Alligator mississippiensis: one gene and its partners. The protein of the gene in region 3 purifies or fractionates together with the protein of the main gene of each other region. This does not show direct contact. Links are inferred from orthologs where the notes say so. Each region holds a gene or a part of one and is shown on either strand. Other genes may lie near its edges.

Region 1 (6,976 bases), on a different chromosome or scaffold from region 3:
ATCCCAAAGCATCATTCTGAAGTGTCAGATCATCCCACGCCTAAACCACAGGCACAGCTTTGGACACTTTCCTCTTTTTGAGAAGAAACCCACCAAAAATTCACATAATTCCCTTTGTTTATCAAAGTAACAGGATCCGCAAGTAAAGAGGGGCACCATCCCTCTGGGTAGACAGACAGCTTAATGCCAAATAGGCACACAATTTACTATCGCACTACAAGACTCAGAACAGATGCTCCGTTATGAGAAGATCCCACCACCAGAGTTATCTGACTCTTTACCCCAGCCCATCAGCACCATACGTTCAAACTGAGCAGTTTGTCAGGTCACGACACTACAGAAGATGAGCTGTACATCTTTAGTGTCATTTCTACGAAGCTGGAGAACACGAGGGTGAAGGAGCGTATTCCTTACGCCGACTGAACAAAATCTAGTAATAGTCTCTTACCTGCCAGGTCATGATGAATAAGGTCAGCAAAGTTGGGGTCATCGCCCCACCAAAATATCCACAGCTCTCTGCGTCCAGGTCTCTGATCACGCCGCCAAACACTCAGTACGTCGGCCTTCAGACAGCGACTGAAACTGCTCAGAATGGGGTCTTCTTCCGTTACAGGAAAGAGAATTGGGGCAGATGTTGGGCCCTGCCATACGTATCGTTTCCATTTAATGCCAGTTAAATCAGCCTGGGGGAAGAGAAAAAACAAATTCAAGGACGTGTTTGGGCAAAAGCAAAGTTTACTACATCCAGAAATCATTTCTAGTTTCTTAGTTAGAAAGAAAGTATAAGAAAGACTCAAAATAAGAAACTGCCAGAGGATCCCTACTTGCTATGAAAGCATCAAAGATTAAAAAAGAAACAAGCTCCATTGGTTAGGTCAATAAAACTTGTCTGAAACTATATTCTAATTTCGTAAACCCAGGCGTATACCAGAATGCCAAAAAAAGACCCAACCCTAGGTCCCAAGTTATGATGACCTTTATCCTGTTTTAAAACTGCCTGAAATAACAACTCTAATTATTAGTAGCAGAAGCAAACCTGCAATGAAACTAATCAACTTTTTAAAGGCAGCAAAATAAAAAAAAATTAAAAAAACAGAAGTGAAGGGCAGCAATGGAGTTATTTTCAAACAATTTCGTAACTGCGTGATTATTAACTAATCACACATCTTGGCAAGGGATTTTTTTCTCTGGACTTCATCTTGCATTGGCCCTTCTCTGTATTTAAGTTACAAAGCCCTTTCAGAAACCTGTATACAGTCCGCCTATCCTCAAAGGACACTTTCCAATCCCCTGAAAGACTTTACCGGTTACAGCAAAAAAACACAAACCCTTTCAGACACAGGGAATACTTCAAAGAAGCATGGTGACTATACCCTGCACAACACTGTTCTCTTCTCATCTCATGTCTTACAAGTGAAATTCTAAATTATTTTTCCTTGCTGTAAATGTGTTTGACTTTGGTCAGGAATGAGAAGTTATGATGTGTCCCGGACCTTCCGAGCCAAAATGCATTTTCCCCTGCTTCTTCCTAGAGGCAGATTACCTGCACCTAATGGGGAAAAGACGAAGCTAGAACTGTTATTTACAAAGCAACACTACTAGAGACTAAGGTGAACGCTATGACCACTGCTTGGCTGGAGCAATGACCTCGAAGGGCTTGCCAGGAGGCACCATGGGTTTTAAGCTAATAAATGAGCCTCTGTGATGGATACCTTGTACTTGCTTAATGATTTCCTCCTCCCCCATATGAGAAAACAGCTAAGAGTATTGCAGCTCCAGGTCTAACATGGCAGCCTCCCCTACCTCAATAAAAAGGGGCAAGGCTGGATTCCAGGTTACGAAAGGATTTGCAACAGCTGGTCCTTCTGAAAGACTAGAGGGCTTAAAAGATGTTGGTGGTATTGAGCTACAGGCCTGATGCTGCCCGTCCCCTTGCTATCTGGCAGACACGACCAGGCTGTCCAGAGTCCCCTACCCCCAAATCCGCCAGTGCAACAGACCGACACATGTTTGACAACAACCACCATCATCCTCAGTACCAGGTAGCCTACCTGGCACGCGGCGACCTGCGGGCCAACGCAAGGCTGTCTACCTGGCACGCCGCGACCTGCAAGCGACTAAGGCAAGCCCGAGCCGTGACCCCCCCCCCGAAATTGACTTGTTTCCATCAAGTTGGCGTGGGCAGCCATCAACACGAAACCGCGGACCCCCTAACGGGGATCGCCCAAACCGCTCGGACGAAAGCGAGCGGCGGAGCCAATCCACCCGGGAAGAGCGGGGAGCGACGCTTCCTCGGACAAAACGCCCCCGGCCACGAGATAAGACCGCGGGTTCGCCCCCCGAAGGAACCTGGCCTGGTCTCCCACCCGCGAGCGCCATCGGGCTCGGGCTGGGGGGGGGGGGGAAGAAAGTTAGTTTGCGTGCCGCCTTCCTGTCAGCGCTAACACGAAGACGGGTGGCGATCGGGCGGCGGGAGCTGGGGGCTGGGAAGGGGCAGGCGAGCCGTGGCGATAGGGAGCTGGGAGTTGGGGGCCGGGAGGGAGAAGGGGCAGGCGAGCTGTGTCCGCACGGTGGTGGGAGTTGGGGGGGGAGGAGGAGGAGGGGCGCCAGGAGACAGACAGACAGCAGGGTGGGGGGAGAGGTGAGGTGCGGGGCCTACTCCGAGGACTCATCCAACCCCTAAAAAAATGGCTGCTCGGCCTCCCCTCCCCCCCGCGGCGGTCGGGCACTGGCTCACCAGGCAGAAGAGGTTGGAGTGGCAATCCTCCAGGCTGGCCCCGTTCGGCACGAAGCAGGAACTCATCCTCACAGCCGCAACCCGCGCGCCATTATCCCACAGCCTCCGACAAGAAAGAAAGAGACAGGCGGGGAGGGAGGCGGGGGGCGCCCGCACGGCTCGGCGCCGGGCCGGGGCCGGGGCCGGGGCGCCGGCGGGGGGAGGCGCGGGCGCTGCCCGCCGGCTCGGGGGGGCCGCGGCGGCAGGAGGCGGAGGAGGAGGAGGGCGGCGATCCGGCGCGGGGGGGCGCGCAGCGGGCGCGACCCTCCGTCAGGGGCGGGGGCGGGGAGCGACGCCCGGCCCCTCGTGTCCGCGCGGGGGGCGGGCGGCTCCCGCCGAGTCCGGCCGCCCCGCCGAGTGCCCGCCGCCGCGGCCGTGTCCGCGCGGGGGGCGGGCCCCGAGTGCGCGGCCTGCGTCCCGGAGCGCCGCCCGCTCCCTCAGCGGTGCCGCTGGCGGCGGCTGCCCGGCCGCGGCATCCTGCCCTGCGCCGCGTGCCGGGGGCGGTGCGGGGGGCGCGGGTGGCGGTGCGGGGCAGGGGGGGGGGGTCTGCGCTCCCGCTCCGATCCGAGCCCCTTTTTTTTTCTTTAATGGCGGCCGCGGGGACGAGAGTCCGGGGCCCCCCCCGCCGCGCCGCGATTGGCCGCCGCCGCGTCACGTGGCGCCGCCCGGTCATGGCGGCTCGGCCCAGGCGGCGGCGGCGGCGGCAGTGGCGCGGAGCGGCCGCTGGGGCGCGAGGCAGCGCTGTTGAGCCCGGCCCCTTGCCCGTTGAGGCGCCGCCATCTAGCGGCCGCCCAACGCCTGCGGCCCAGCCGGGGGGTGGGTGGGGGGCGGCCTGGAGGTGGGGGTGCAGGCCCCAGCCCTCCTGGCTGCCCCTGAGGGGTGCCCTCCACCACCAACAGTGCAGACAAAGCTGGGCGGCTGGGTCGCGCACCTGCACCGCCCGTCGTGCTCGGGACGCTTCTCCGCAGGTGCGACTGGGCTCTTCAGCCGTCTTCAAAAAGTCACCCCCTCGTGTCAAGGGCAAGCCGGAGGAGACGTTCGCTAGTAATGGCGGGAGGCCACGTTGAGGGCAGACCTGAAGAAGGCGGACGGCCGCGGTCAAGCCTTGGGAGGAGCGGTTTGGGCGACGGCCTCCCGTTTTGAAGGAAACGGTCTCGCCCTCGCGGTGGAGGACAGAGAGCAGGGGGGGGAAATCGGGCCTACGGTCTGTTCTCCGCTGTGGAAAGACCTGCAGCTTGGTCCGCGGTTCACGGATAGGACTAAGTTGCCTCGAGACCCATTGACGAGCCACGGTAGAGATCTTCAAATCAAGGCATCGCTGCTGCCGCCAGCCACGACGGCAAATTCACGAGCCTGCGGCTGGACCACAAGCGCTCAAGTTGGACGGACCATCACGGCTGCGGCATCGTTTTGACATTGTTTTTTTAAACGTAGCTTTGCTGGCTAACGTCTTCTAGCCTGGCTTTGCCAAAGGGTCTGATACAAACGATCGAGAGAGTTGAACAACCGGCGTAGGATGGTTTGGAAAGGGGGCTGCAGGAGGTGACCGCTGGAGGTCCCTTCCACCCCGACTTCTCCAGGATGATCCTGTGACTTCGCTAGTACAACATCTGGATGCCACGGCGGCACGCCACATCAAGACCTTGCAACGCATTTCCCAAGCCCCCAAAAACTTATTTCAGGATTGGTGAATGAGTCGAGTGGCAGCTTTCTACTGCTGCCTTGACTGAGCGTGGGAGGAAAGAAAGGACACTCTATAAATACATTTATATGCTAAAAGGCACAAGCAGTGAGCAAGCACAGATGCATTTGCTTCTCATAAACTTTGTAGATTTAGTCACCCTGAGATTATTTTCGTATGCCCTTGCAAGCAGGATTTTCCTCCTTTATTCAATTAAGCCTAAACTGGAGTGTTTAAAAGAGAAAATGAAATTTACAGGAGATCTTTTCCCTTGCTGCTCATCTAAACTCAGCAGCTGGGGACAGAGATGGGATGCGGGGAGAGGGCAATTAGGAACCCAAGCCCCTTTCCGACTAGAAGCAGATGGTTTTCTCCGTGGTGACTGAAGATCAGGACAGGACTAGGAGGAGGTGTTCTGCTGCAGTGCTCAGAACCGACTCCTCTAGGCTGCTTTGGATACAAGCAAAAGCCCTCCAAAGTTTTAATGCAGACCTTTGGTCGTTAGAGTAATTATCTCCCTGCACACAGAGAGAGTTGTTTGCAGCGTTATTAAGTCACACATCCCCAAGGAGAAATTCAACACTTTGAAGGAACTACAAGAAAGCAGAGATCAGCATTAATACAGGAGTACCGGTGTGGTTTCCATTAAGCAGAAGAAGGATCTTTGGGTAAAAATGGGATTCGAGTGCGAGAATGGCAACATTGCAGTACTTCTGTAGGCCTGATTTTTAGAGGGAGAAGCAGCCCTGTACGTCAAGGTGTGAACAATGACAAAACACCAGCAGTTTAGAATCTGGCCCCATCTCCTTAAAGGGCAGGTCGGTGGTTAGACCAAAGGATTCAGAGGCAACCGATTTAGGGTCTAATACGGACTCTGCCCACGGGTTTTCTGCCTAGCTGGTCTTTGGCAACTTGCTTACGTTCTACACCTCATTCTCACATCACGATCAGGTTAGTAAATACATTTTAAAGTACTGCGGTATCCCTGCTGAAGGTGCTATGGTATACAAGTGCAAATTTATGCCCAGAAGCAGAAAGGACATGTCCTCAGAGGTGAAATTAGCTAAAGATACATATTGTGGGGTTTTTTCCTTACAGTACTGGTTGTGGGCTGGTTGTGTTGTTTTTATTCCCCCCTCCTCATCCTATCACTTCTGCGAGATCCAAAATGATCTTATAGTAGCCTTATACCTTACATAAAGTGTCATACACAAAAAGGGCCCTGCCTAAATCATATTAAGACACACTGAATAATATTAAGTGTATAGCTATTCATGTATGGCAGCCCTGCATCTTATGCAACTTGCACTTCAGATTCAGATCACTACAAGTTGCAAGACAAAGCTTCTAATGACTGGAAGGGGGGAAAATGCCTCCTCCTCTCCCCAACTAATTATGCAAAAAAAATAAAAATAATAATACTAATAATATCATCACTAGAACTGGGAGATGAGTGCTTCATTTATTTATTTATTTTATGTAGGTCCCTGCAGAGTCCTAATCTCCACAACTTCCAAAAATTTACATGAGAACTGTCAAGTGCAGTGCACATTTTAAAATGTTAAGTTTAAAGTTTGGGGGTTTTTATATTTTAAAATATTTTTACATATGTCTTGTATATGTACATTAAGCTATTTGTTTATAAAAATCAGGAGAGATGAGGTCAAATAAGCATGCCTTGTACTTGGAGCTGAAAGCAATGGGGTCTCTGATGGTTCCTGTGCTTATGCAATAGAAAGAACCAAGAGAACGTTGCTGATCCAATTTAAAAATTAACCAGTCTTTGGAAAGATAGTGATGGGGGGAAGTGTCCAGCATTGCACAAGACTGAAGTCAGGGAACTGGCTAGGTGAAACCTTGAACATTAGTATACTTATCCCTACATATTATACTGTTCCCCCCCCCACTTACAAGTGGCTTCAAATCATCTAAGCATCCAGCCATGAAGAGTGAGAAACAGCCTATTTTCCCAGTAGGCACAGGTGCTCAAATAATTATTTATTAGTGGAATAAAGAGAAGGCACAAAAAAGCAAGTCCTTTTTCCTCAGCATTGTTTGCATTTCTGAACTGTTCCAGTTTTTGCTCCTTTTTCATTTACGTGATAAAAATATTCCCCTGTTGAATATGAAGAGTCAATGGATTATATCATCGCCTGGGGAATCTCTCCATGGAATAATATAAAAGAAAATGGTACACTTTGAAAGTAAAGTTCTAAAAAGGAAAGTGGATGAGACATCTAGCGGACAACGCCAAGCACAACTTGAAGTGAACAGCACAAACAAGCATCACCTTCAGTAACACCATTACTTAAATAATGGAAGATGAAAAAGGACTCGGTGGCAATCAGTGTATGACTGCAAGATGGAGAGGGCAGTTTTTGCAGCCTCTAAAACTGCTACAGCCAATTGCTCTTCTCCCCTTATTTATATAGTCTAATTTGGGAGAACGGTTCTGTTTTTTTCCAGCACCCCAGACATTTATACAAGTAGAATTCCCTCCATGTTCTTGAACTACTGCC
Region 2 (7,550 bases), on a different chromosome or scaffold from region 3:
AAGTAAATGTACACCCTGCTATTCAACCCCCTACTTTTCAAGAGATTACAGAAAGACTGAAATAAGAATGACTGCAAGAGTGAGCAGCTTGCTGGCAGCTGTACAGCTAATCACTGATGGTTAAAATAAAACCATAACTCCTTTGAATCTGGAAGGGGTGAGAAGCACAGCAATCAGTGCAGACCCAGCTGACCAGATCCATGCACAGGGCCACAGAGAGTGGGAGGCAAAGGAGAAGTCTGTCCAAACCCTCCTCCTGGCATCTCACCACACTCTGCAATGTTGTGAAGCCAGGGAAATAAACGCTGTTTGAGCAGTGCTTACCTGACTGATCCCATTCTAAGCAGGTGATAATTTCAACGTGCCCAGAGTTAATGGAATAAACGTCCCATGGATGCTCTGTGTCGATGATATGGACCATGTGGGTGAGATCTAGGAAGAAAACACACAAGGTCAGTTCCAGGTAACCTCCACTGCAGGTTTTTAAACTGTGACAACTCTCAGAGCAGGACACCAGCAACAGCTTCCCTCATTTCTACAGCAACACATATACACAGGCTTCCTTACCTGATGTACCAAACGAGCCACTCACTGCTCCAAAGAATTAACTGTCTACAGCTCCTTAGCTGGCGTTTCTCAATCTCAGGATTGTGAAAGTGCTGGAGGGGTGGAAATCAAAACCACCTCCCATTCTGCAAGCAGTATCTTTAATAAAACCAGCTGAAGGAGCAAGGCACTTCCAGCCTGGGAAGAGGAGCCCTTGATTATAAAAGAGGCTGAGAGTCACTGCCCTGGTGTATGAAATGACTATGATGTTTTGCGGAGAGGAAAAGAGAAAGAACCTAAATCTCCCACACTGTTTGCACTAGGACTCACTGATGTCAGAGCCAGCAGGGCCCATGACCGCACAAGTCCTAGCTGCCCGTGTACTACAGGCCACAGAACTTTGCCCGGTTCCCCTTGTATTGAGCACGGTTCCAGGCGACTAAGGCACAGCCTCTAGAAAGGCATCCGATTTTGACCTAAAGTGATCAAGAGACGGGAAATCCACCACTACCCTAGAAAACCTCTCTGCCTACGTTTTCTGGCTGCAGCCTGCTTGTCGAGAAGCCCAGCGTGCGAGTCTCACAAGGTGAGAGGCTTGGTTATTCCCCAAAACAACAGGATAACATGTCCTATTGAGAACAATTTAAGCAGGCTCTGACTCTGCACTGAACCCCTGCAGTCAGACCCCTCAACTCCCTGAAACCAGTGGCACCCGGTTCCATCCATGTGGATCTGACAACAGAATTAAGGTCACAAGCAATAAATCAATGGTGCCTGGAGATGAATCCCCAATCCTTTCCGCTGCATTTGCTCCTGCCTGTTGAACCACAGAAAAGGGGAAAACTTGTCACTTCAGCCAGGAAGCACCTTGCTTCATTGGAAGGCAGCAGAAGCAAGAGACCCGTGCCATGGAGGAGACTAAACAGCAAATGCCAAAGTCATTTTCATTCACTGTGATAGGATGAAACATTGCTGCTGTCGCATCCACCGCAGCAGCCACTGACACCTGCTTGTCCCAACTCTTGATAACAAGCGTGCTGTCTACCCAGAGGAGCACACAAAACACCAACAGACTCTCCCTGTGCCCGGAAAAGGGTGGTTTTTTTGCTCAAAAGCTTGCAAAGAACAATTTTTCCAACTATTTAGTTTAGGTGCAAAGAACAATTCTTCCAGCTCTTTCGTTTAGATATCGCATCGACCCAAAAAACCTCGTCCACAACCAGCAAGGAGAATAAATAAGATGTGCAAACAACCCTCTCACGCAACCACCGGGCAATCAAAGCCAGTGAGACTTATACTCTTAAATCACTTTGGGATTCGCTAAAGCACCTTTCTGAATGCTTTATCCCCAGCTAGAAGCAATGCTAGGGGGGACTACAACAGGACACCGCTCTTCCTCGTGGAAAATTCCCATTGTAAGACATCGTTCAGGAAAAGAGGAAAACACACAATTTTGCCCTACCTTTTTCCTCTTCATTTTTGAGGTCTGTCGTGAAGGCGATCAGGTTCCTGCAGGACCAAGCACAAACCAGTGGGATTGAAGGGCAGTGGTTGCTTTTGGGCCTCTTCTCCCACTCGCAGATGTAAGCCAAGTCCATGCTGCCTCGGGAAGGCGTCCAAGGCACCGCTCGCCTTCGCGACGTCTAGTCATGGACTTTGGTGCCTATGGAAGAGAAGAATCGCTGTTCTCTGCTGTCGGACTCTCTCCCCCCGTTTCACCCCGCTCAGGAGACCCGGGCCCATCGCTGGAAAGCTGCTTTATAAAGTAGCAGCTGCTTTCCAAAGGAAACGCGCTGCGCTGAGCCAGGGCCCCCAAATACCGAGAGGGTCGCACTGGGCAGGGCCAGCGGAGGGGCGAATGCCTGGCACTATTGACATGCTTTCTGGCACGGTCTCGGTTGGTCCAAGAACGGTGTCATCTCTGCACCACGAGTTCAGGCTTTTTGCATCTCGCACGACTCGGGAATCCTTAAAAACGCCTCGGGTCCTGCCCCAAGACCTCGCCGAATACCTGCCTTTCAGGGAGATGGAAGGGGGGGCTCGCTGCCTCCGCCAACGCCGTCAGCATCGCCCCCCACCAGCAACCCCTGGCCCGGACACAGGGCAGCCAAAGCGCCCCCCCAATGTGCAGCCAGGGGTGCCCCCCAGGGGTAAATGGAGTGCCCCCCCCTCCCCCAGGGGCAACTAGAGTGCCCCCCACCCCACCCAGGGGCAACTAGAGCCCTCCCCACCCCACCCAGGGCAGCCAGAGGCCCATCCCCCACTCCTCCAGGGGACAACCAGAGCCTCCCCCCAATCAGGGGCAACTGAAATGCCCCCCAGGGGCAACTGGAGCTGCCCCCAGGGTAGCCAGAGCCCCCTCCCCTCCCCAAGGGGCGACTGGAGCCCCCCACAGCCCCCCCCCTTGCCTCCCCTCCCCCCGCGCAGGACTCACCCCCACCCCCACCCCAGCGCTCCTTCGCCGCTGGCTGACGAAGGCCCCCGGCAGGGCTGCCCGCGCTGCGCCTGAGCCAAACGTGCAACTCAGGGCCGAGACGGAGCCCTCGGCGAGGGGGGGAGAGGGAGGCTCCTCGGCGGGAGGGCTGTTCGGCTCAAGCCGCAGGCGGTTTCGGAGCCGCGCGCGCAGGCATCGTTGCGGACGCCCCCAAGTCGGGGTCTTTCTATATCAGGCTGCGCTCCGGGCCGGGTGTTGATTTGTATACAAGCTCCCTCTCCCAGAATCCCTCGCATCGCCGGCGCTGGAAAAGTGGAAGTTTCCTAAGATTTTACCACAAATAACTTAGAAATTAAAAAAGTATCTGCATCATACAGTATTTTTCATGAATCATTCATCTAATTATACTCCGTAACGTGCTATAGTTAATCACCATAAGAGTAAAAGTATGAATAACTATGAGGTATAAATATCGATCTGGGAGAAGGGACATTCGTGCTCGCTTCGGCAGCACATATACTAAAATTGGAACGATACAGAGAAGATTAGCATGGCCCCTGCGCAAGGATGACACGCAAATTCGTGAAGCGTTCCATATTTTGCTCCTCTCGGGTCCATAGTTTGCTCTCCCAATGTTCCGCTTTGTGCATTCCCTTGGGCCCATAGTTTTGCTCTCCCTTGCAGCTGCAGCGGGACCCCCACCCCGAGCCCCTTTGCCATGTGGGGGCTGGAAGGAAACGCCCCCTCCCAGTAAGCCCCAGTAGCGCTGCCTAGTGCACAGCCTAGCAAACTGCGCTGGGCTTCCCAGAAGCCCACGGTGCCCCTGGGAGGGCAGGTCTACCCAGCCCCTGGCCCTGCTGCCAGGGTGCAGGGCAGCTGCCCCAGGTGGCAGGAAGGGGCACGGGGCAAGGGCTCCTGTGCATGCTTTTGCAAGGCCGGGAGCGGTACCACCCATGGGAAAGCAGGTAGAGGGCACGAGGGGCTTCATTTCTTCTCCCCTGGAGGTCCTCATGGAGGAAGGTTACGTGCCACTGTGCCTGCCTCAGCCCAGCAGGCGCCTGGCATGCTTGTGGGTGCAGCACATCTGTTTTCTTGGGGGTCTCCCATCCAAGCCAGCTTGGGCCTGGGGGCATTAGGCACCCCAACCCCAGCCCCTTTTCCCTCCCATGTCCACGTCCTGCCTCTTCCACGTGGGGTTTTCCAGTTGGCACAAACTGAAGCTGGAGCAAAATGCTCATTGCAGTCCCACGTGCCAACAAGGGGATGCCCCCTTGTCTTGTTTGCCACCAGCCAAAAGGTCAAGCTGGGAAGCCCAAAAGCAATCCCACCGCTGTCCCCATAAACTGCACAGCTGAACCCCTTGGCCAATGCAGTGCCTATCTTCAAGAAAGGGAGGAAAGTGGATCCGGCTAACTATAGGCCCATCAGCCTGACTTCTATCCCGGGGAAGATCTTAGAAAAGTTTATTAAAGAGGCCATCCTTAATGGACTGGCCGACGCCAACATCTTAAGGGATAGCCAGCACGGGTTTGTTGCGGGTAGGTCTTGCTTGACCAATCTCATTTCCTTCTACGACCAGGTGACCTATCACCTGGACAAGGGGGAAGAGATTGATGTCATATATCTTGACTTCAACAAGCCTTCAATCTGGTGTCCCATGATCACCTCTTGGCAAAACTGGCTAACTGTGACCTTGGGTCCACCACAATCTGCTGGCTGGGGAACTGGCTCCATGGTGGGACCCAGAGAGGGGTGGTTGAAGGAAGCCAGTCCTCTTGGTGTCCTGTGACCAGTGGGGTCCCCCAGGGCTCTGTCCTTGGACCCACACTGTTCAACATCTTCATTAATGATGTGGACATTGGAGTCAGAAGTGGACTGGCCAAGTTCGCCGATGACACCAAACTTTGGGGCAAAGCATCCACACCAGAAGACAGGCGGATGATCCAGGCTGACCTGGACAGGCTCAGCAAGTGGGCGGATGAGAACCTGATGGTGTTCAACGCCGATAAATGCAAGGTTCTCCACCTTGGGAAGAAAAACCCGCAGCATCCTTATAGGCTCGGCAGTGCTATGTTGGCTAGCACTATGGAAGAAAGAGACTTGGGGGTCATCATTGACCACAAGATGAACATGAGCCGGCAATGCGATGCTGCGGCTGGTAAAGCGACCAAAACGCTGGCTTGCATCCATAGATGCTTCTCAAGCAAATCCTGGGACGTCATTCTCCCCCTGTACTCGGCCTTGGTGAGGCCGCAGCTGGAGTACTGCGTCCAGTTTTGGGCTCCACAATTCAAAAAGGATGTGGAGAAGCTTGAGAGAGTCCAGAGAAGAGCCACGCGCATGATCAGAGGTCAGGGAAGCAGACCCTACGATGACAGGCTGAGAGCCCTGGGGCTCTTTAGCCTGGAAAAGCGCAGGCTCAGGGGTGATCTGGTGGCCACCTACAAGTTTATCAGGGGTGACCACCAGTATCTGGGGGAACGTCTGTTCACCAGAGCGCCCCAAGGGATGACGAGGACGAATGATCACAAACTACTACAAGATCGTTTCAGGCTGGACATAAGGAAGAATTTCTTTACTGTCCGAGCCCCCAAGGTCTGGAACAGCCTGCCGCCGGAGGTGGTTCAAGCACCTTCATTGAACACCTTCAAGATGAAACTGGATGCTTATCTTGCTGGGATCCTATGACCCCAGCTGACGTCCTGCCCTTTGGGCGGGGGGCTGGACTCGATGATCTTCCGAGGTCCCTTCCAGCCCGAATGTCTATGAATCTATGAAATCTTAAGATGTGCTGGAGAGCGGCCGTCTCCTGCCCACGTGCACCTGGCGGTCACGCAGCCTCTTATTGAAAAGCAATTGCAGGGCAGGAAGCCTCCCGCAGCCCCCGGCACCTGGCAGGGGAGATGCTTTCAGCCCCGGTGGCTCTTACTTCCCCTTCGTCTCGGTTTCGAAGGCCGTGGCACAGGTACAGGTGAGGCCTGTCCCTTGCTGATCCCTGCCAGAGTCTCCGACTGCCTCCAAGTGCAAGGAGCTCAGCTGTGCAGTTTATGGGGACAGCGGTGGGATTGCTTTTGGGCTTCCCAGCTTGGCCTTTTGGCTGGTGGCAAACAAGACAAGGGGGCATCCAACCTCCAAGGCCTGCGGGGCCTGGATCTGGGACCACCTGAAGCATCCAGAGTTTGGGAGGCAGGAGACTTGCTAACGGACAAGGCAAGAACTGGGGCCAAGGGCTGCAAGGGATAGAAACCCTCTCCTCCGTCCCACAAGCTGCAGCGCAGAGGGACAAACACGTGGGAGACATTTGAGCTCAACCAGCTCCCAGGCTCCCGCGTTGCACCCCACCGTCTCCTGCTGGAAGCCCCCCGGGGACGGACACCGACGGCTGCGCCCCCCAACAGAGACGCGGACACAGGGAGTCCGGAGCACCATGGTTTATTGTTCTCGTGCAGATGCCTCCCGGCTCTGTACGTGTCCTCGCCTTCCCCAGCCCAGCCCCCCACAGCAACCAGCAAAAGGAGCAGTGGCAAGAGCTGGAGCTGGATTCGGGGCATCGAACACATTTAAGAGGAAGGAAATCGTGATGCCATGCTCCCGAAGCAACGACACAACCACGGGCCACACGCCGCAGGCCCCAGTGTGCGCTCGGCTGCACGGGACGCTGGCGGGGCCACGAAGATCACTTTGGCTTGCCAAGAGGGCAGAGGTGGAAGGAGGAGGCACCAGTGATGGGGACCCATGGGAGAGCTGGGCCTTCGGGAGGATTTGATCGGAGCAGAAGATGCTATAAAAGGGCCCGATTCGCTCCCCGCTGCTGGGGGAGCAAGTCCTCCTTGCCCCCAGCGCTCGATGCCGTGGTGGTGAAGTGTGACACGGCCCTGCTCTCCCCAATCCTGCTCGCACCCAGGGTGAATCGGGAGCGATCCCAGCAAAGGCAGCAAACCCCATCCATCACCCAGCGCAAGAAGCACCACGACCCCCCATCCTCGACCCACCCCAGCTCCCCCCCGGCACGGGCATGCACGAGGCTTTTGTACAGCCGTGAGCAGTGACGCACACAAGTGCAAGGCAGCAGCACCCCGAGCCCAGCGCGTCCCTTTCAAACCAGCTGCTATATACACCGAAGAGAAGCCCTTGATACACAGACACACGCACAAAAACCCCACAGAGCGTACACGTTAAAAAAACCACAGGCGGCACAGTCTGCAGCCCTACAGCGCTGGAAACCAAGCCCATTTCACACAGCACCACAGCACGAAACACTCCCGTGCCCCGGCGCGCCCAGCTGCCCAGGGTGGCGGAGCTGCAACGCTGAGCTCCAGCCACCTTGGGAGCGGCGGGGCAGCCGGGGCCCGAGTTAAATCACGCACACACAAATATGTATAAAAAAAGGACACGCTATATTACATTTAAAAAGGATGGGAGCCCTGCCCTGCAGAGAAAGCCAGCCCTTGGCATTAAATCTCGCTGCTCTCTGCATTGACGCTTCAGCTGCTGCAGCCCAGCTTCGGTGCCAGGCTGCAGGGAGAAGCGATGGGACGGGGCTGGTGCCAACACCCAGCCCGTCCCCCCA
Region 3 (7,393 bases):
GAAGGAAAGGGAGCCAGGGAGAGAGAGTACAGGTGTGCTGCCGGCTCTTGCACGGAGCGTCGAGGACCCCGCCTGTGGGTCTCAAGCAGGCAGTGTAGGCAAGAGCTGGAAGCCTTTCGCCAGCAGCCAAGCGAGAGGCGGTCAGAGAGTGCATGCCGAGGCACTCTCTCTGCGTCCTGAAGCGGCAGACACACAGGAGGCAGGGGAGCGCCCTGCGGACGGGAGGAAAGGGGAGACAGCGGAGGCCCCAGGAGGGGGCTGGAACCGGGGGAAGCACCCACCAGCTCCCCCTGGTTCAGAGGAGTATTATTTATAAGGGAGGAGAAAGGAGAAACCCCTCTCAGCAGGAGGGAGGACAACCGGGAACCGGGGAACCGGTCAGAGGCCATCATACTGGGCCTGGCAACATCTGGAAGACATCGCCCAGTGGCTGGCGTGTGGACGGGGTGTAGGGGAGGCGGAGCCCCGTGGATCACCGCGTCCAATAACCGTGAGTAACACCATCTATCGGGAGGCCCCACCCAGGATAAAGATCTCCTCTGGAGACCCCTCTGAAGGTAATTGAGTACATCCAAGTCATGGCAGGCGAGTTGAGGGGAGGGACAACACCCCGATAGGCCAGGCGGAGCGAGGCGCAGGCTCCACACGTTATTTCTTCACACAGTAATAATGGAATTTTGTATTTGAAAAAATATATCAAATATTAATTTACTATAGATTTTCCAAAATTATTTAAAGTTCTTGGACATATGGAAAATAGCTTACATTTTTTTTTTAGCTTTCTGCAAGAAAAGCAAGCCACCTACCTGGGATTTACAAGCATATTGAAGTTTTAATCACAGAACTGCAATATGAAAATAAAAAGTAACAACTAGGTAGGGCATTAACTTCCCATTACTGTAGTAGCAGGGGAAATAGAGCAGTATCATATAATCACTCTGACTCTGCTTACCAGCTAGTCTAGAATCACACACTCCAGCTACCAGACTTATGAACTACAGCATAATTTAATGTTTCCTTGGTGTCAGACTTTGTTGACTGAACTGCAAGGCTCCTCATAGGTGGATCCAGACCCATGTCTGGTGGTACAGCATTAAATACCATGGGGATTAATGCACCCATCTGTCTCTCCTGTGTTGTGCACATGCATCCCCAGTGGGGCTCTGTATGGCTGAATTTGGCAGTGGATCCCCCAAATTCCCAGCCCTTCCAAGAGCTCTGCAGGCTGAAAGACATCTCCATGGGCCAGATCTGGCCTGAGGTACACACTTTGACATTCTCCACTCTAAAGGGTAACAATGTAAAAGTAAGCCTAGGAAAAGGCTAGACACTGTGTGGGTGGGGGGGGAGGAATAGTGGCATGATATTTCCTCTGTTTGATATTAAAGGTGTTAAGCAGCACTTATTCCAAACAAACACTTGTAGAAACCTTTTACTTTAAGTACTTACATAAGTTACTTCACTATGCTTCTTGTAAGCGCAGGTTAAACAAATGTTTTTCTGGGGTGGTTTGGAAAGAGATGATCCCCTGCTAAGCAAGAGACCACCTCCCAACATCCCTTCCAGCCCTATATTCCTATGACAACAGCACCCAATTTTTTTCCCAGCATCACCTCCTCAGAAATCTCCTGGACCAGGCTGACAAGCATGAGCAGTAGAGGCACTCAGGGACCACTGTCACTACACAGATTGCAAAATGCCTGGGAATAACGACAGGTATCCATCTGACAAAGCCAACTTCAGCCCACAAAAGCTTGTACCCCATGCATCTTAGATAGTCTATAAAGGTGCAAACCTGCCCTGCTTTCAGACTGATGCAGCTAACTACCTCGGACAGGTATCCAAGCCAGGAGGCCACACTCACCAAAAGGGATCCAAGCAGCTCACAGCAACGCCCCAACTGGCCCCAAATCTGGGCACAAAGCACCCACACCTGATATCCACAGGCTCCCCCCAACCCAGGACTGGGTCCTGAGCCCACATATGGCCCCAGCCAAGGGATCTGCACCTGCCTTTGCCCCTGGGGAAAGCCAGTGGGGGGCAGAGGGAGTGCTCTGCTCTGCTCCAGGAACATTTCTAAATAGCCCAAAACTTTTCCCCAGGATTTGGCTGTGTGCATGTGTACCTGCACATGTGTGCCTGTGCATACATGCGCCTGTGTGCCCATGTGCCTGTGCATACATGTGTACACGTGTGCATGCGACCGTGTGTGTGTGTGTGTGTGTGTGTGTGTGTGTGTGTGTGTGTGTGTGTGAGCCATGTCAGCCCCTCCCAGCGCTAGCACCGGGGCCCCCGGGGAGAGGCCGGGCGCACGGGGCGGGGGGAGGCGCCAAAGGCCGGGGGCGGGGATGGCTCCTCCACCCGGCCCGGGCCGTGGCTGCGGGCCTTACCCGTCCTTGCGCCGGGCCTTGTAGACGTGTCCGTAGGTGCCCCTGCCCACTTTACAGCCCTCGTACTCGAAGAGGTCCTCCACCCGCTCGCGCTCGGCCGCCAGCTTGGACTTGAACTCGTAGTCCATGTCTGCCGTCCATGGGGCGCGGGCGGCGGCGCCGGCTCAGCGCCCCCCGCGCCGGGCGCCCCCGCCCGCCACCATCGCTGCGCCGCTCGGCCACTCCCGCCTTCCGCGCTGCTCCCTGCAGGGGGCGGGGGAGGGGGCCGCACCACCACCGCCCGCTTCAACTCGGGCTCCTCGCAGCGCCGCCCGCGCAGGGTGTTGCGGGACTCGTAGTGCCGCTGCCAGCGCCGCGGCCCCGCAGCGCCGCCCGCCGACTATAACTCCCAGCGTGCCCCACACCGGCCCTGGCCGAGCCGCGCCTGCGCAATGCGGTCCACCCCCATCGGAGATTCAGCGGCCGCTGGGAAACTTGCTGACTCCTCACATTGCGGGGCAGTGGCGGGACCGACCGACCAAGCGAGCGGGGCGGGGCGGGTGCGGCGGCCCCACAGCCTTCCCTCACCACGCACCCCCTGGCGTACGCCCGCCACCCTCCTCGCTCGCCGGGCCCCGCTGCAGCCTCTGGGCGCGCGGGGCCGTGGAGAGCCTCGCGCGGCAACTTGTTTATCTCCCGAGCTGCCACTCACCTCCTGGCCCCGCCCTCCTTTCCAGCGGCGCTTCGGATTGGTCAAAGCAAGTCCCGCCCCCTTTCCCAAAGCATAAAACCAGGTGTCTGCAGCATTATTTCTTAGGTTGCACTGGGGAGGGGCTTGTGACTTTTTTTTTTTTTCTTCTTCTTCTCTTTACCTTGTTCCTGAGGGTGCCCAGGCTCTTTTTAATGGCCTCGATATTCCTGCCTTCAGGCTAGTCTTTGTTCTGCCACTGAGCTGTCCCTTGGCTGCTTCTGACAAAAGTGGCTCCTATTTCACAGCCCAGCAGATTGTTTGCAACTCCTTCTAGCCAAGCTGTAGTTGTTTTTGCTTCCATCTGAAACTGCATACTCCCAGCAGTATCCCAGGGGACTGAGAGCAAGCAACTCTGGTTTCAGCAAGTTGTCCCTATTTATCTTGTCTCTGTAGGTTGTGAAAGGCCTTTGAGTTTGAAGAGAGAGGCTTTTAAAAAAAGCATAGAGCTTTTTTCAGGCACTTAAAAAGGATGCTTCTATACTCAAGCAGTCACAGGAGTGCTTTGAGTCTCTAAAACTAACGTTTAGATGCCAGTCTTTTTCTTGTTTGAGATCTTTTTGTAGGTCAAGTTTATCTAGGGTGTTCAGACACTGGATTAGCAATATGCTTGTTTTTTGATATTACTCATGATTTCTTTGCATTATGGAAGCACCAACAAGCCCTAATCAATCATCAGGGCTACCTCGTGCTGTGAAAGTAATACGAAAGTCATCCCTGCTCAGCAGACTGGTTTGAACAAGCAGCAACAAGTGAATGAAGTGGAACAAACACTTACTAGGAGAGCCAAGTAGTAGCAGTAGTTGATTTGGCATGTAGGAAACTGAAATGCTTGACAACCTGCCTACTCACTATCAGCTAGCTGGCAGTGTTTTTATGCATGAGTTAACAATGTGCTAGTCTAATTGATTGCAATGGGGATTTTTTTCCCATGCATAAGGGACACACCTTGAGAGAGAGATTAATTACCAGATGAAAGGTTTACCATTGTTGGCAAAGGAAAAGGACAGATGAATTGCAAACAGGGCTAAATTATTACGGTCAAGACAAGAAACTTGTGGCAAAAAGATTAATGTAATCCTGAAGTGATAATTCAAGGGTTGGGAGTCTATGGCCCAACAGGCCAGATCCAGTCCCTGGATGTGGGCTTTTCCCTGCTGCTGCTGGGAGAAGTGCCAGCTGCAGGCATTTTCCCCATGCTGCCCTGCACAAAAGTGTCAGCAGCTGGATCCCAGTGTCCACCACATCTAACCCACCCAAACTGGGTCACCACAGCTTGCAGCCCAAAAAGGTTACCAACAGCTGTGGGAGCAGGAAAGCTACCTCCTGTATAGTGCCAGACAGCTGACTTCCCCTCCTGTAAGAGTCAGTGTCAAAGAGCTGACTTCTCTTCTCTCTGCAAGCAAACTTCTCTAGAGAACTATGGGTACTGTTTTCTGCAGTGGTTCAGTTACAGGTATGGATCTCTATCAGCACAGTCTGTTTCTGAACTATATATTGGGATATTTCCATTTGTCTTTCAACAACGCTGAAGAAAGTATTCTAAGAATAGAAAAAATCCTCTGTCTTTAATAGTCTTAAGCTTTACAGTCCTATCAAATGTTTAATCAGCTGGTAATCATACTTTGCACTTGAGGAAGAAACAAATGCATTTAACTACAGTGCTATGTTGCCCTGATATATTAATTCAATTTTAACCAATTAAAAAAATACCCAAGTGTGTTACTAAGACTAAACTCCACAAACCTGTATGTAGCCCTTTTCAGTCAAAATAATGTGAAAAGATGGGAAATATCAATGACAAATATGTCCCTCTTTCTTCAGTTCTATCATTTACCTATATAACTACATGCCATATGGCGCCATAACTAATTGCATGCCTCCAATCTCAGTTGCTTTTTTGTGACTTGGCCTTTCTCCACTTCCTATCTCCACTTTTCTCAGCACTATATTTTTCCAGCTCTTTTATTTCTTTGCTTCCCTTCCCTTTCACTCTAATAACTACCCCTTGCTCATCTCATTGATGCAGTAGTGCATCTCTTCTCCTCCTCTAATCCCTCCATTTGTTCCAAGCGACAATCCCATCCATCTACATTGTATCCACTCATCCTTTCCTTAACCTTAACCGCTCTATGCTCTTTGGTTCTTTCCCTTCACAATACAAATATGCTTCAGTTTTTCCTCTCTCTCTCACACCTGTGACCCCAGTTGCCTCTCCACCTAGGCATTCCCACAACCATGTCACTAGTAAAAATCAATTAATTTGCTGTCTGTAATAGTAATCTGGTATAAATCTCAATTTATTTTAAAAGATGAATTAAGATGTGTAAGAAAGCTATGAACATTTCAGGCCTCAAACCATTAAAAGCTGAATGGAAGTCCATGTATATTTATTTTCATTTTTGTAACTTTCTGTGTGTATACTAGCAAATTGCCCATCAAAAATTATGGGGAGGGAGGGCAGGCGGGGACAGAGCACCACCACCCACCACCCTGTGCCACCATCACCTCCCAGAAGCGGGGGGTGGGAGGGGAGTTTGCATGTGGCAGCCACCACCACTAGCCACTGCTTCATGCTGCCGCCGCTCTGCATCCAGCCGTGCGCCACTTCCTGACACTCTGCGTCCAGCCCCACGCCACCCCCCTCACCAGTCCACATCCAGCCCTGCACCACCCCCCCATGACACTCCACATCCATCCCCACCTTCCCACTCTGTGTCCAGCCCCATGCCACCCATTCTCCCTCCCCTTCCCACTCTGCATCTGCCTGGCCCGCTCCGCTGGAGCCATGCCCCACCCATCATTCTTGACAGGCATTCTTGATGCAGCACTGGCTGGAGCCATGCCCCCCAAGAGCATTACGGACAGACAGACACGCTGACAGATGGATTAAGCCCTTTATATAGAGAGAATTTTTGCCAAGGTACCAAAACTAAGCTCCGAGTTGACTGTTTTCTCTACAGAATAAATAAACTCTTAGAAAAAAAATACTTTTGAGTTCATTAACTCTTGCAAGGGACAATACCTTTTTCAGGTCCTGCCAGGCAGTCATAGTTCATAATATGTTCACTATGTCTGAAATGTTTAAGTCTAATCTGCAGATATTAAGTATTAAGGAGAGCTGTAATTTTCAGTGGTGCCTTGCATGTACCACAACATTTTGATTTTCTCAGGCAATATCTTTGCCTTACGGGGGGGGAGGGATTTATATTTTTGAGCTGGTTCAGTATGTCTCTGGATATTTACTTCATTTATTGTGATACCTTGACAATTAAAGGCACTGTGGCAGAAAAAAATAGCTTATTATGTTTTGAAAGGTAAAGAGTACTAATCTTGCCATCAATAAAGGCATTTTCATGAAACCAAGTTTCATGAAAAGGCCTTTCTTTGATTTCTTTCCCCTTTAGTATTGCAATAGTGTTTTAGAATCAGTAAATGAAGCCAAGTGGAAGTGAAAATGAAAATGGCAGGTTTTTTATTGTCCAAACTGAGTAAGGTGAAAGTAATTAGCAAAATATTCACAAGAGATAAGGAAGTGTATTTTTTAAACTAACGGTAAACCTAACAGTGTCTGTTTTAAGAAGTCAAGGAGAAGAAAAGAAAATCAGAAGTAGCTATGATCACAGTTGTACCAAAATAATAGTGCCAGCTATGCTTTCCAATACAGAGCTAAGATGCAGAAGAATAGTGGTAACAATACTGTCTGTTCCTGTTCTACCATTCCCTCACACACCTTCCAGCAGTTTGTATCCTGGATCCTTAAAAGCACAGAATTAACTCAGCGGTCAGGAGTTTATCCTTGCCAATAGAAATTATTTAAAGAGTTCAGTTCTTTTTTGTTCCAACTTATTTTAGGCAACTCCAGAGGGAGAGGTTTTCTCCTCTAAAATTATAGAAACAATAGTGGGGTTTGGTTTTAATCGCTCTACGTTTCAGGTGCTTTACATTAACCACCGTGTCATCTATACATGCCCTCTGACTAGAGACAGGCTCACAAGGGTGGGGAGGGGGAGCTGTTTTAATGAGAGGCTGGAGAAGAACAGCACAAGTCATCCTTGTCTCCCCTTTACCTCTGGAAAGGGAGTCACACCAAGCAGTAACTTAGAGAAAATGGAGGACTCTTTAAGCAACAGCAAATGAGAGGGAGAAATACTGAAAGAAACAAGTTGTGTGGTGTAATTAGGGTTACCATATTTCCAGTTCCAAAAAAGAGGATACCTGCTGGGGGGAGGAGGGGATATGATTGTGAGGGGCAGTCCCCTGTCTCCCCAGGCCC

The links.
Region 1: the proteins of CDK19 (region 3) and MED13 purify together in Homo sapiens (affinity purification with mass spectrometry; 6 studies listed by BioGRID and IntAct, counting the BioPlex papers as one, with this or other methods). This does not show direct contact. The link is inferred for Alligator mississippiensis from reciprocal best matches to the Homo sapiens genes CDK19 and MED13.
Region 2: the proteins of CDK19 (region 3) and MED16 purify together in Homo sapiens (affinity purification with mass spectrometry; 6 studies listed by BioGRID and IntAct, counting the BioPlex papers as one, with this or other methods). This does not show direct contact. The link is inferred for Alligator mississippiensis from reciprocal best matches to the Homo sapiens genes CDK19 and MED16.

What each region holds. Positions count from the first base shown.
Region 1 is NC_081837.1:3,766,971-3,773,946, reverse strand, and holds the start of MED13 (mediator of RNA polymerase II transcription subunit 13), read right to left. Parts: upstream 3,026-6,976; 5' UTR 2,804-3,025; coding exon 2,738-2,803; intron 684-2,737; coding exon 449-683; intron 1-448. UniProt on the Homo sapiens protein: Component of the Mediator complex, a coactivator involved in the regulated transcription of nearly all RNA polymerase II-dependent genes.
Region 2 is NC_081839.1:3,218,105-3,225,654, reverse strand, and holds the start of MED16 (mediator of RNA polymerase II transcription subunit 16), read right to left. Parts: upstream 3,092-7,550; 5' UTR 2,981-3,091; intron 2,678-2,980; exon of another isoform or gene 2,367-2,677; intron 2,210-2,366; 5' UTR 2,145-2,209; coding exon 2,009-2,144; intron 433-2,008; coding exon 325-432; intron 1-324. UniProt on the Homo sapiens protein: Component of the Mediator complex, a coactivator involved in the regulated transcription of nearly all RNA polymerase II-dependent genes.
Region 3 is NC_081824.1:96,328,430-96,335,822, forward strand, and holds the start of CDK19 (cyclin-dependent kinase 19), read right to left. Parts: upstream 3,052-7,393; 5' UTR 2,519-3,051; coding exon 2,391-2,518; intron 1-2,390.